Linked DNA regions of Struthio camelus. The protein of the gene in region 2 interacts with the protein of the main gene of each other region in a pairwise test. Links are inferred from orthologs where the notes say so. Each region holds a gene or a part of one and is shown on either strand. Other genes may lie near its edges.

Region 1 (7,045 bases), on a different chromosome or scaffold from region 2:
ACCCTTCCCACAGCAGCACAGACCAGCTTCTTGTCTTATTCTGAGAGCCTTTTCAGCCCAGGTGAGGCTCGTCCATGGCTCGTAAGCCTTTGAGTTGCACATCCATTCAGCCAACTGTCTCCCCAAATGACTTCATAGCTCCTCCTGTGACCCTTCATCTGTACTGAAGGATCGCCCTGCAGCTGGCACGAAACAACTGGTGCTCTCAAGCCTAATCAACAGTCAGGCTGCTGAGCAGAAACAGCGGAAGCTGTTTGATGACAGGCTTTGTGCCCACACTGCACCCCACAGTGCAGCAATCCAGGTCAGCCATGGGGTAGGACTGACGCCTGCAACGCAAAGCTCTCTGAAGAGGAGACGCCATCTTTATGCCATGTGCGTGCAGAACCTAGGGCAGGAGGACCGTGCTCTCCACTGGGATGCCTAAGCCCAGCCATTTTCTGCTCAAGATGGGGAAAGAAAGCAAAACCCAAATCAGCATTAAATTATCAGCTAAAGAGATTGTTTTGTCCCCCTTGGTATGTTTAATAACCTGAAGCGTGCTACTAGTGTCGTGCGTCAGGACTTTAAGCAGCTTTTTAGTTTGATGGCATCCCTTCAGGGCTTTGTTTATTGACACTTCAATGACAGGCTCTTCCACAGCTGCAGCTGAGCCCCAGAGTATCTGCCTGAATTAAACCTTGCCTTGAAAAGGCAATAAATACTCCTTGCACATACACGAATACATCTAGTACAAACTAACAGCAACTAGTATACAAGTTCACATTTGAGAGGCTGGCCTGCAGGCCAAGCAGTCAATACATGGAAGGAAGAGGGGCTCAAGATTTCTAGTCTAGCATCTAATATGAGATTTCTCTATCTGTAGTTGTATTTTATATCAATCAAAGACAATCCTTACCTCCACAGATATCCCACGGGCACTGGGCCCCATTGTAACCGTGCCCACCTTCACCAAGAAGTCACAGTACTGGTAGCGGGTTCCCCGGCTCTCTATCTTGTTCGCCTTGGCATTTTGGAAGAAGCCTTTCAGCTTCACCATAAGGATATCAAAGTTGGCATCTGCTATGAGGCAGGGACCATTTTCAAAGAGAGCGAAACAGCTGAGGGGATATTCAGAGTTGTGCATCACATACATCAGCTTGCCTGTCTGCCCTGAAACAAGAGCAATGATATATGGGCTGCAGAAACAACAGTCCTGTGCTTGTATGTGCTTTTAAGAAAGAAACATCTCTTTGCTTTCCCTTTGTTTTCCTTGCTGCTTCAATTCTAGGATCCTTGTATTAGTCTCACACACTTTACGTTTTCTGAGTGTTCCGGAGATAGGTTATATTTCCCTCTTAGGGTTTAAAACTAAAGGAAAAAAAAATCTCATGCAGCCACTCCTTGCCCAGGGACAAGACGGCAGTGCAACTCAAGGGCCAGACTTGGATGTTAGATCTCCAGCAGGATGAGAGGGTCAGCAAAGAGCACCTGCTCCCCTCCCAGAACATGGGGCTGTCCTCTTCAGCCCTGCAGTAAAGGGAGAAAAGCTGGGTTTTGCCTCATCTCCCAGTCGCTGACCAGCCCCACAGAGCTAGCAAAGGAAGGAGGTGCCTGGGCACATTCTGGAAAACAGGACATCCAGAGAGGATGTGCCTAGCTTGTACAGTGATTCAGAAGTGGAAGAGGATTCTCATTTATCTGTGTTGGTTAAAAAAGCCTCTCAACAGATGTGATTGTGCAAGTTCCAGTTCCAGCTCCAGCAAAAAGCCCCTCTCATAGCTTCAAACCTGCAGACACATCCGCAAAACCCGACAGCAGGGCAGCTGAAGCAGCACCCCAGCTGCACCAATCTGCCTGGGAAGAGCGGTGAGGCTGGAAGGGCTCAGTGCTGACCTCTGCAGCCGCAGAAACACTGGAGGGATGTTCACACTGGTTTTTAAATGCTGTTAAAAGCCACATGCTTGGGAGGGAAAAGGAGGGGAGCACAGTCCCCCCAAGTGAGCAGATTAAGTCACGTCTTTCAGCTCTCCCGTTAGGCCCTGTGATGTCCAGAGGGAATGCCAGGTCCTCCAAGCACATCCCCCGGCCACGACTGGGTCATTTCACACCTCAGAAATTCCCCTAGAGCTGCTCACCACCGCCTGCCTGCCCTGGGGAGCCTGCTTTCTTCTCTGCTACCACCTCCTGCCCTCGATCGCTCACCCTCCTGGAGAAGAAGGGCAGAGCAGGTGACAGCAACAAGTTGCTCTCAGGAGACTCCTGTAACTTAGCTGCTGTGCAAAACGCAGCCTCCAAAACAAGTCACCAACAGTAACGCTTTAAGAAGCCTTAGGGAAAAAAACACTGCCAAACTGGCAGCTGGTTTTTGACCACTTATCTTATTTCACACGCACAAAAGAGAGATCCTACACAGCTGCTGATATTCCAGTTAAGAATCCTTAAGCGCTGACACAACACAGCTATCCTCAGTGCAGGAAAGGACAACCGTGGGGCATGTGTGTAACAGAGAAAACAGCATTAGTGAGACACAACAGGCTCCCAAGTGGAACGGCGCGTTTAGTCATTCAACATGTCTGTTCCAGGGCAGCCCACGGCACGCAGCACCCAGCCGCGGGGCCAGCGGAGCTGTCGGAATGACCTTCCCCGGCTCTCTGGGGACGATGCGCAGGGGCGCTATGTTTCCCAAAGCTATTCATCTGAGAGGGGAAGAGGTGAACTGCGGTATGAATCTTTCAAGGTAGAAAAAAGCTTTTACAAGCAGCCAGGCAACTGCCCGTTCCCCACAAGAGCTCAACACAATAAATAAAATGATGCTGACTTGTGGAAGAAACCTCAATTGCAGGGCAGAGCGGCGATCTCGCACGTAGCACGCGCTTGTTCCACAAGGGACCTCGCTGTTACTGCAGCCGGATTTCGCTACCAGCACGCTGGGCACGAGATGAAAGACCGAGAAACGCTCACGGGAGAAGAGAAGCCTCCGAGCTGGCACTGGATGAGAGCCTGCAACCACCTCCCTCCCTTTTACCGCGACCGGTCTCCGGGGGACCGCAGCTGCGGGGCATGCCCGGGGGTGGCGGCAGCGGGGGGCCGGCCCTGACCTTGGTTGCCCATGGTGGAGGCGGCGGTGTGGTAGGTCTCGCAGTCCACGCAAAACGTCCCCTGCTTCTCCGCCCCCAGCAGCTCCAGCTTCCTCGTCAGCATTTCGACCGTCTGCTGGACGCTCTTGCCCTCGGCCACGGGCACCTGCGCCACGCTGCGGGGGGAGGCGTCAGCGGCGCCTGCGAGCCCGGGGACCCGGCCTGGCCGCCACGGCCCCGAGCCAGGGGGTTAACGGCACCCGGGACGGGGGGAGGGCCACGGTGTCCCCCCGTGACAGCACCCACGCTGGGGGGGGGCCATCTGCCACAGCCTCCCCGTGACGGGGCCCATGGAAGGGGGGGGGACAGCTCCCGCTGCGGCCTCCCCGTGACGGGGCCCACGGAAGGGGGGGGGACACCCTCCGCTGCGGCCTCCCCGTGACGGGGCCCACGGAAGGGGGGGGACACCCTCCGCTGCGGCCTCCCCGTGACGGGGCCCACGGAAGGGGGGGGACACCCTCCGCTGCGGCCTCCCCGTGACGAGGCCCACGGAAGGGGGGGGACACCCTCCGCTGCGGCCTCCCCGTGACGGGGCCCACGGAAGGGGGGGGGACAGCTCCCGCTGCGGCCTCCCCGTGACGGGGCCCACGGGAGGAGGAAGGAACACCGCAACCCCCGCAACGAGAGCACCCACGGGGGAGGGAACATGCAGTTGCCCCCCGGCCAGCACCCACGGGGGAACCGTCCGCCGCAGCCCCCCGAGACGGCACCCACGGTGGAGGGGAGAGGGGGAACCGCCTCGCGCCCCCCTCCCCCCCCCCGCCATCCTTACCACGTGACGCCCATGGCGCGCGGCGGCGGCGGCCCCGGCAGCGCCGCTGCCGCGCGGGGGCCGCGGGCGGGGCGGAAGTGACGTGCGGGGCGTGAGGCGGCGTGTGACGTGGTGCCTGCGGCGCCGCGCGCGCCCTCCCGGCCCGGCCTCGCTCCCCCGCCGCCGCCGCCGCCATCATGCCGAAGGCCCCGGCCCGGGCAGGGCCCCGCGAGCGGGCGCCGCCGCTGGCCGAGCAGATCCTGCGGGCGGCGGCGCCGCGGCCCACGGCGCGCGTGAAGCGGCGCGGCGCGGCGGGTGGCGATGATGATGGCGGCTACGTGGACTCGCGGCTGTCGCGGCGGATCCTGGAGCAGGCGCGGCGGCAGCAGGAGGAGCTGGAGGCCGAGCACGGCCCCGGCGCGCCCGCCGCTGCCCTGGGTGAGCCCCGAGGCGGGGTCGGGGGGAGGCCGGGGGGGGGGGGTCCGGCCTTGCCCCGCGCTGACCCGGCCCCGTTTCACGCAGGCCCCGCGCCGCCCGGCCCGGACAGCGAGGAGGAGGAGGCGGCGGCGGAGGAGGAGGAGGAAGAGTGGCCCTCGCTGGAGCAGGCCGCGGCGGGGCGGTGGTGCCAGGAGGTGGCCGTGGACCCCGAGGACGAGAAGGCCATCGAGATGTTCATGAGCAGGAACCCGCCGCTGAGGTGGGCCGGGGGCCGGCGGGGCGCCGGGCCGGGGGCCGGGGACCGACGCTTGACTCACTCTCGCTTCCCTTCGTCCCGGCCCCAGGCGCACGCTGGCGGACATCATCATGGAGAAGATCACGGAGAAGCAGACGGAGGTGGAGACGGCGATGTCGGAGATAACGGGTTGCCCCATGCCTCAGCTCGACCCCCGCGTCCTGGAGGTCTACAGGGGCGTCCGAGAAGTAAGGCCGAGGCGGCTCCGCTCTGCGCGGGGGCCCGGCGGCGAGGCTGCCTCAGAGGCTGTTCTGCTACAGCCCGTAGCGCTCACCTGGCAGCGATCGCTGCCGAGCCCCCCTTTCCCTTCGCTGGTAGTAAGTACAGCGATCAGGACGTGTTCAAGGAGAGAAGCTCAGCTGGGGGTAAATTGGCATTTTCATGAGCAAAGTTGCTAATCTCCTTGCAGTGAGACACCCTGGGAAGCCCGAGAGAAACCCCACACCAGAAATGGGAGGGTGGTGTGATTAGTTAGCACGGCCCAGACAGTGCTTCCCTGGGTGTGCTCTTTCTCTTCAAAATAAATTAACTGCGATTTACATAGTGTCATTCACTGAAGACCCCAGAGTGTTTCTGAATGACTGAATCTCAAGGTCATGAAACAAATCCTGACGAATCCCCATGGTCCTGCTGTCAGTTCCACTATATCACTGCCAGGCTTGCATCCATTCCTTTTTTTGTTTTTTTTTAAGGTGCTGTCCAAATACAGGAGTGGCAAACTCCCCAAGGCATTTAAAATCATTCCTGCCTTATCCAACTGGGAGCAGATCCTGTACATCACAGAGCCAGAGACATGGACAGCAGCTGCCATGTACCAAGCAACCAGGTAGAATTGTGTCTGGGAATTACTGATTTTTTTTTTTTATTATTCGCTTCATCTTTCCACAAGCGAATACCAGATACGCAAAATGCCAGTCTGTGTCCTGCTTTCCTGTTCCTTTGCATGCCAAGGTGGAGGGAGTCATGGGGATCTCATAGCTGATGCCCTGGCTCAGGTACTGCCTGCAGTTACACACTCCCAGGACCTCTCTCCAGAGACAGACAGATCACAGCTTGCTTTGTGCTTCGCTCTTCCCAGGATATTTTCATCCAACCTGAAAGAAAGGATGGCCCAGAGGTTCTACAACCTGGTACTGCTGCCTCGGGTCAGGGATGACATCGCCGAGTACAAGCGTCTCAACTTTCACCTCTACATGGCTTTGAAGAAGGCTTTGTTCAAGCCAGGAGCCTGGTTCAAAGGTAGAGACTTCCCACAGGGTGATGGTTTGTACATAGGAGCCTTGCAGCCATACAGCAGCTGGGAAGCTCAGCAGGGGCATGTGTTGCACACTTGCCTTGTAACAGCACACCATGCTGTGTGTGGTGCGATGACTTCTGTCACGGCTGCAGCAGCCCAAGGGGTTGGTGGGAAGAAGGAGGGCAGAGAAGAAGCAAAAGAGATGTAGAGACCCCCTTGGGCCCATTTGCACCCTTCTGTGCTGAAGGGCAATGGGTACTGGCGGGTTACGCAGGTGCTGCCAGCAGATACTGGCAGATACTTGGTTTCTTTTGGAGGTCAGTAGCCCATTACAAATTATCCTAGGCCTGATCTGCATATTGTCTAGCAACCTGAGGATGTTTGGTGCTAGATGCATGGAGAAGAGGGTGGAAAGAGATATTGAAACTCCCATAACATAAACCAATGGAGGATCCTCTAATTCCTGGAGTCAGATGCATCCGGGGATAGGAGAAGGCAGCTCTGCCTGCTATGTTTAAGGACAGCAGTGTCTAACACTTTCCCCCCCGCCCCTGGCAGGGATCCTCATCCCCCTGTGCGAGTCGGGGACCTGCACGCTGCGGGAAGCCATCATCATCGGCAGCATCCTCACCAAGTGCTCTATCCCTGTCCTTCACTCCAGGTAACGTGGCAGTGGGGCCCTGCTGCCATGGGGTACTGGGAAGGATGGGCAGGGGGAACGGTTCTCCCTTTGTGATGCCGGAGCGATGCAATGGATCTGTCCCTAAGCCTCTCTGGCCTCTCGGAGACAGAGAAGGTTTCACCCAGCTCTGCCTTGTCTGTGCAGGGCTGAGGTTCAAGGCTTCCTGCAGTGCTGGGGCTGTCATCCGTGTGTCTGGGACCCACTGGGGCAGGGCTCAAGGGACAAGCTAACCTGGGAGAAAGGGAGCCTTCAGCTGTCCACGTCACGGGTGCCCCGTAGCTCTTGCTTGGCCTGCAGGTGCTGAGGCCCTGCCACACCTGCCCTCACCTTGGTGCTCCCTCCGTCCCCACAGCGCAGCCATGCTGAAGATTGCTGAGATGCAGTACAGCGGTGCCAACAGCATCTTCCTCCGCTTGCTCATTGACAAGAAGTATGCACTGCCCTTCCGCGTGGTGGATGCGCTTGTCTTCCACTTCCTGGCCTTCCGCACAGACCAGCGGGTCCTCCCTGTCCTGTGGCACCA
Region 2 (7,019 bases):
CGCAGAGATCCAGCCTCTCTGCCTGGACGGCCAAGAGCCACAGTTTCTCAGACTACCAGCCACATTGCAAAAGAGCAGCCCTGAGATGCGAGAACTGTCAAAAGTCAGTAGCTGACCTGAGACATGACAGGTTCAGCAAAACACTCCGTACTTCCGGCTGGCCAAGCAACTCCCAGCAGCAGCCCCAACCACTGACTGCACACAAATGCACCTGAAGCCAAACGCTAGGGGATTCCGGATGAAAAATTCAAGTGCAGACTTGGAAACATACCTCCCCAGCCCAAAGAGGAGATGATAGAGTCCTGATTAAAAAAAAAAAAAAAAAGTCAACCATTCTCTTGTCTCAAGGACGATCCCACCCCTGTTTACAAACATATATATATGCAATCACATACAAACTGTTAGCATCCCCCCCCCAACACTGTGCCTTTGCCAATGAGGCCATCAGATCACACTGCGCATGCAAGCAGACCCTTCAAGGGAATTTATCATACACTGCAGCATAATTTCATTTTCTAAAGCAACGTTTACAAAACAGGCAGTGCAACTTTTCGGACACTCACTGTACGCACTACTTTCACCTGATGCCGCAAAAGGCTCCGCAGGGCACAGACCTGTCTCTAATTGTTTGTAAAGCAGCAGGCACACCCAGGGCTCTCTGTAGCAATAACACCACCTGCCTGAATCAATGCAACTGCTTCTATCGCTGACACTTGCTCTTCCTCCTTGTATTTTTATCCCCACTCACTGCCTTTTCCGAGCTGGTTTCCCAGAAGTAGTTTTGTGGAATAGCCCCCTGGAACAGAGATCATCGCAGCCTTACAACACTACCGCCCAGCGGGCAAATGCCACAAATAAACCTGCGTTCACGGCCTCCCCTCCCCCTTATTTCTTGCCCATTCACAAGAAGAAAAAGCCAAGTGAACAGCTCTGAGCGCGTTCCTAGCAGGCTAAATGCAGCAGCGACAACCCCAGCACAGAGACCAAAGCACCCGCAGAAGCCACGAAGCTCTGCACTCACCAGCCTGCCTTTGTTTATTCCACAGACATCTTACCCCACATCCCCCAACTAGTTTGCCCTCCTCTGCCACAAACCGGGCCGTGCAGGACCTCGACGCCTCTGCCCCCGATCCCCAGATCACATTGGAGTGGGGGGAGATAAGGAAGGAAGGGCACCATTCTTCTTCTTAGAAGGTTCAAGAAGCAGTTCAGACCCCAACTCGACGCGTCTCGGTCCCACGCACAGCACGACAAGCAGTTGGCACCGCTTCCCAAATTCCCAGCATGCTGTCCAGCAGTGACCTCACTTGTAAGACAATACACTGTCTAGGAGCAAACGATGACTCCGTGCCGATACAGAGAGCCTTCGTGGGTACAGGCTGCCAGCTTCGTTCTAGCTACGGCAGCTACTCAAAGACAGACGGTCTTCTTGAAGCCGCTTTCAACAACAAAGACTCAGCCGAGGTTTTAGAGCTTGCTTCAGAGCGGGAGAAGACCTGGGCAAAAGCCAGACAGAACAGGCACAGTTGAAGCCATTAACACCCCAGCGTGTCAGGACTTGAGAAAACTGTAGGGCAACAAGACACATTTGCCCTCTCCAAAAGCTCTACAACCCATTCAATGGAATGGCCATTTGCCGCCTGTGAACTACGTTACAAACATCTTTAGCTGTGCACATCAGAGCAATAAAATATGCAGTTGATATGTTTTTGGAGGCAAGAGACATAAATAAAGCTTAAAGACTAGGAATTCAAGTCTTGAGTGTCACTCAGCCACATTTTCTAACAACTTGTCAGATACTTAATGCAACCAAAATACGCTACACTTCAGGACTAGCAATAATATCAGTCCTGCACAGTCAATTAAATGGTAGAGCAATATCCCATGAAATATTGCACAGTCTCTCAGTGAGACAGAGGGGTTAGCATTATTAGAGACATTACACGTGCCCCTTTCCGCCTTGCTTTGCAAGAATGCTAGAAGATTTCTGAAGACGCCAGCCTCGGGAGACCCCCTTATCTTTTAACTTCAATTTAGCTAAACTTTATCATCGCTAAAGCTGTGAAACACTGCTAGCAACGAAAACTGGAGCAACCAGAAAGCAGCCACACTGCACAGGGCTCCCTGCTGACAGCAGTGGGAGCCTGAAACTGAAAACGCAGTGATTTAAAATGTAGTCGCCAGGCTGAGAGGCAGAAAGGATGTGACACACGCGCACACTACCTGGAAAATCAGGAAAAGGGTGGGAGATGCTAACTAAACTGGCTGGCACGGAGAGCTTGGAGTGGGAAGGCAAGTTTGTCCTCTCCGGCTCGCCAGCCTGAAGGCCAACTAGCAAACAAATAGCTGTTTCATACTAGGATGGTTCCGAGCAAACAGAAACGGCTAGGAAGGAAAGGGGACGTCTCACTGCACCTCGCGTTGGCTGGTCTTGCAGGATGGACTCGGCGCACCTGAACTTCCTCCCGTGGAAGGGGAAAAAGGCTGGGAGGGCGCCGAGCGCAAACTCCTCTGTTCTTCCCCACCGAGGAGCGGAAGATGCTTAGGAGCATTTGCAAACACACTTCGCAGCTGGCAGAGCTGCCTGCGCACCGAGCCGCCGCCGGCTCCGGGCGTCGCCGGCTCCGGGCAGGGCGAGAGCCCCTGGCAGCGCCGTGGCCGGGAAAGCACGGGGCGGTGCGGGCCCCCGCTCCGCTCTGCGCCGCTTGCTGCAAAATCGCAACGGCAGCGCCGGGGACCCGAGCCCTGCCCGCCACCCCGCGCCCTCGCCCCCTCGGCGACCGGCCAGGCACCCTCACCCCGGGGCCCCGGTACTCCCGCGGGCTCCGGGCGGCACCCGCCCGCCCTGCTCCGCTCTCCCGGGGCCGCAACCTACCAGCGGGCTGCGGCAGCCTCCCCGCCGCTGCCCGGGCATCTTGGAGACGCGGCGGCGGCGGCGCGGGGGAGACGGCGGCGCGGGCGGCAGCCGGAGCGCGGGGCGGGAGGCGGGCGCCGCGCTCCCGCCGCCTCCGCCCTGCCTCGCGCCCGCCCTCCCTGCCGCCCCCCCGCCCTCCCGCCGCCGCCGCCGCCGCCGCCGCCGCCGCCGCCGCCGCCGCCGCCGGCCCTGCCCGCCGCCGCAGGTGAGGCAGCGCAGCAGCACCAGGCACGGCGGCCTCGGGGCCGCGCTCCCCCCGCCCGCCCCGCCGCGGTGGCACCGAGCCAGGGCGCGCCGGGGAGGCTCCAGCGGGGCCGGGCGCCGCGGAGCCGGGCCGGGCCGGGCGGTACCGCCCCGCGGCCGCCCCTTCCTGCCCCCGGGCGCGCCGTGTCTGCCTGAGCGGCGGCGGAGGAGAGAGGCTGGAAGGCCGGCAGGGAACGGCGAAGCCGCGGGCCCGCGCGGGCCGCGCCCCGACGTGCTCCGGGGGCACCGGCCCGCGGCGCCCGGGGTCGGGGCCGAGGACAGCGCAGCCCTTAACCACCCGTCTTCTGTCCCCCCGCACGAGGAAGAGGAGCGTAGCGTTAGGAAACATTTCTTCCTTGTGCACAGACCAATAGCGATTACAAGGATAGTCAGACATGTACATCAGGCAAAGGCTTTAAATGAGATCCGTGGGGTGTTTTATTATTATTACAGTGGAGGAGATACTTAAAAGTTGAGATTAAATTTCTTCGCAGCAACTCTTAATGTGTTTGCTTTTCCATTGTCCGATACAGCTGAGAAATAGATTAGATTAGTTCCCTCTCCAACCCCACTTTCTAGTCCCGAAGAGTGGGTGGATATTCTGATGTTTTTAATACAGTAAAAAAGCCTATTGGGTAAGTTTATTTTGTTATTTATAAAGTGCATATATACATACATACATATAAGTGCAAAGCAATAACATCAAAGAGATACAAGGGAAGGGGAACCCAGAAATGTAATTTATTCCTTGGTAACAGGCATATATGCTGTACAGGTTATTTATATTTGAAGACTGCCTGGACTGTTAAATGACCCTTCTCTTTAAAATAAATAGGAGGAAAAGTATATCCAGGATCTCGGTGCCGCTCAGTGAGGTAGGAAGAGATCCTTTCAGATGTCAAAGGAACGGTTTAGTGTGCAGGGACCTGCAGCCCTTTCATTTTCTGCCCTTAATTCACTTTGATATCGTCATTGCATGCCCAGACACATAGTATGTGCTTCATTTTTACAGTAAGGCACCGAACACATGGTAGTTGTCACACTGTGAAATTCCAGTGGAAAAAGACAGCTGTACTTTACCGAGTAATAGAAGTCAACATCATAACCACAGCCAGGGTTGTTCTCACCTAGTTTACCTTGCAGAAAAATCACAGATCCTGTTCCCTAGGAGAATCTGACAGTGGGATAGTTAATGTACACCAGTTATTCGGCGTTAAATCCTATCTCTGCTCTTTTGACAGGGAAAACAGTCTGCATTGCTGTGGCCAAGTCACGTAATTCATAGCTGTCCTGGGACTGATTCTTGTCATTTGCATCTGTGCAAACCAAGCGAGAAGAGAACAAACAGCCCGATCAGAGCCTGATAGGGCCCAATTCTTCCTTTGTTTAGACAGGCAGGAAATTAAAGCAACTTTCCTGAATTCAGTGCTATTAATAGGCTGCAGCAGGTACCTGGGATCAGATTTAGTCTGTTGGGCAAAGTTATACATCCTGCACTGGTGTTTAGGGTCACCAATTACCAGGTGCAGAGACCCCCGCCTATGTGTGTACATTTGTGAACACAGTATAGCTTAGATGAGGCAGTACAAGGGGGAGACACTGACTGTATGGGCCAATGGAAACATGAAGCAGCAGGGAACAGCAAAGATAATAGCGCAGATGTGCAACCCAGAGACGAGGCACATCAGGCTGCAACAGAAAACAGGCTGCTAACAACTAACAGATGACTGGAGACCACAAACACCCCATTTCAAAGGACTCTGCAGGTAACCGAGCCTGGATTCACATGGCTTCTGCACTGTGATCAGGGCTGCCAAGGAGCAGCTGTCACAGGAGTCTGGTAGCTTGGCTCAGCCCCAAGCTCAGAGACCTTCAAGCTTCCTCCCAAAGCATGCTGGTGAGAAAGAGAGCCCAGCCAGCAGGCATCATGCAGCAGTAGCCAGCTGTGTGGTATCCTGATCTCACACCTTCTCCCAGCTATGATGACAACCTTACCACATCACTGGGAAAGGTAGGCAAGCTGGCAGGGACAGGGAGCATGGGAGAAACAGAGGCTTTGGAGTTGCTGCTAGGGACGATATGGAGGGGATAAGTGTCAGTGCCTCTCTTTCCTGTCCTCCAGGAATCTAACTACTGCTGTCTCTCTCACACTTGCAAATCAAAGCCCAATGGCGGATGTGCACAGCTGTGGCTCCATCTGTAGAACACACCAAATACCATGGCCCAGGTGGGCTGAGACCTACCAGGCCACAGCTCGGTGTCAGGGGTATTTTAAGCCCCCAAACAGTTTTTCTAAAGGGATCCACAGGAGATAGGATTTTGTCAGGGAACATTACCACCACTGTCAGCTTGATGAGTCCCTAGCCTAGTTAGGCCTCTGGATTACAAACTGGAAGTGTCAGAGGTGACCTTGGGCAAATATTTACAATTACAGTGTTGCTCTATATGTGCATGTGTTCTAAACACAGAAGGGATCAGGTCCAAATGACACTTTAATTGAGCAAGCAGGGCGGTAGGAGGGTAGAGCTCTTTATGCTAATGTGCTAACAACTCAAGAGTGAATCATATTAATTAGGGGTGGGGAGAACATGTCCATCTGCCCGTGAAGTCATTTTGGAGTGTCAAGTGCTCAGCACCTCTTCCAGCAGGACTTGTGCATTTTGAATAGGGACTGACTTGATTTGTGTAACATGCAGCTGTGAGCATGTTGTTAGGACTAAGGGAATCGTGATTATATTGCCCAAGGCTGGTATGTGTTAGCATCCACATTTTACAAATGGGGAATGGAGGCACTCAAGTTATACTGCATGCCTGGGATGCTTAGTGAATAAATGACACAAAGTTATAAAGCGGGACTCCCCCTCTCTGAAATTTGTTCTTGCAGTAGAAAGCATAGGGGGGGAAAAATCCTTTTAAGTTCTGAATCCCTCTTCTTGCTTCTTCCTAAAAGCAGGCAGGTAGTTGTAGAGATGAGCAGGAATGAATGAGCAGGATGAATTCCCCAAGAAGAATCTTCTAGTTTCTTCTTATGTTTTGATAACGTCATTTTTTGAAGTTTCATTAGCACCTCCTGTATCTCCAGTTCTTACCCAGAGGCATTCACTTCCTCCTCCGTCACTGTGCATGGAACAGCAGCTCAGTTCATGTATAGGAAGTGGATACTTTGCACCACCTCATGTTGAGGCCTGGAATTTCAGAGTCTGATCACAATTTCAGTTCTGTCCTGTGATGCCTAAACCAGAGGCCTCACAAACTTGCCCCAAAACAGGCTCTTCTGGCTTAGCATGCACTTTCCCAATGCCTCTGTGTCTTGCAAGACAGCAGTCCCACTGTCATGCTCTTCATTAAGGCTTTATTGTTAAAAGTTTTCATGCAGCAGCAACAGGGCTGAACTGCCTCTGTGTAGTGTTTGAGGGCTGCTTTTCCAGAGGCAGCAAGTTGTTGTCAAATGCATTGTGCATGTCTTCTTGGCACGCATACCAGCCAGAACAGTTTCTTAACCCAGCCCAGCCATTCGTTGTAAAAGACATGACAGGCTTTCACACTACCCTATTTATGAGCAGTTCCCTTTTTACCTTTTCACATGTGAATGGGAGCAACTGAAGGAGGGGAAGGATGCAAAACTCCCGAGTTCAGTTGCTCCCATTCACTTCCCCCTTCTAACCCTGCTGCAGCTCAGGGGCAAGAAGGAGAAGGCAAGAGGGCTCTTTTGAACTGCTGAGGGAGCAGCAGCGTGATAGGGCAAGGTGCTGAGATGAGGCTCCCATTAACTGGGAGCTAGCACAGGACTAGATGCAAGGCGTGCGACTGGAAAGAAGCAGGAAATTTCCTGCCACAGCATCTACAATAGTTACTGCTCGTT

What was found.
Region 1: the proteins of MID2 (region 2) and BYSL interact in binary tests that used the Homo sapiens proteins (3 or more experiments, as listed by UniProt). The two-hybrid records come from large-scale screens. The link is inferred for Struthio camelus from reciprocal best matches to the Homo sapiens genes MID2 and BYSL.

Annotation. Positions count from the first base shown.
Region 1 is NC_090965.1:6,382,046-6,389,090, forward strand, and holds the start of BYSL (bystin), read left to right. Parts: upstream 1-4,040; 5' UTR 4,041-4,067; coding exon 4,068-4,308; intron 4,309-4,392; coding exon 4,393-4,567; intron 4,568-4,652; coding exon 4,653-4,791; intron 4,792-5,295; coding exon 5,296-5,429; intron 5,430-5,681; coding exon 5,682-5,842; intron 5,843-6,398; coding exon 6,399-6,501; intron 6,502-6,874; coding exon 6,875-7,045. Other genes in the region: MED20 (mediator of RNA polymerase II transcription subunit 20), read right to left, coding at 899-1,152, 3,081-3,235, 3,892-3,905. UniProt on the Homo sapiens protein: Required for processing of 20S pre-rRNA precursor and biogenesis of 40S ribosomal subunits. May be required for trophinin-dependent regulation of cell adhesion during implantation of human embryos.
Region 2 is NC_090952.1:2,236,112-2,243,130, forward strand, and holds the start of MID2 (probable E3 ubiquitin-protein ligase MID2), read right to left. Parts: upstream 3,002-7,019; 5' UTR 2,876-3,001; intron 1-2,875. UniProt on the Homo sapiens protein: E3 ubiquitin ligase that plays a role in microtubule stabilization. Mediates the 'Lys-48'-linked polyubiquitination of LRRK2 to drive its localization to microtubules and its proteasomal degradation in neurons.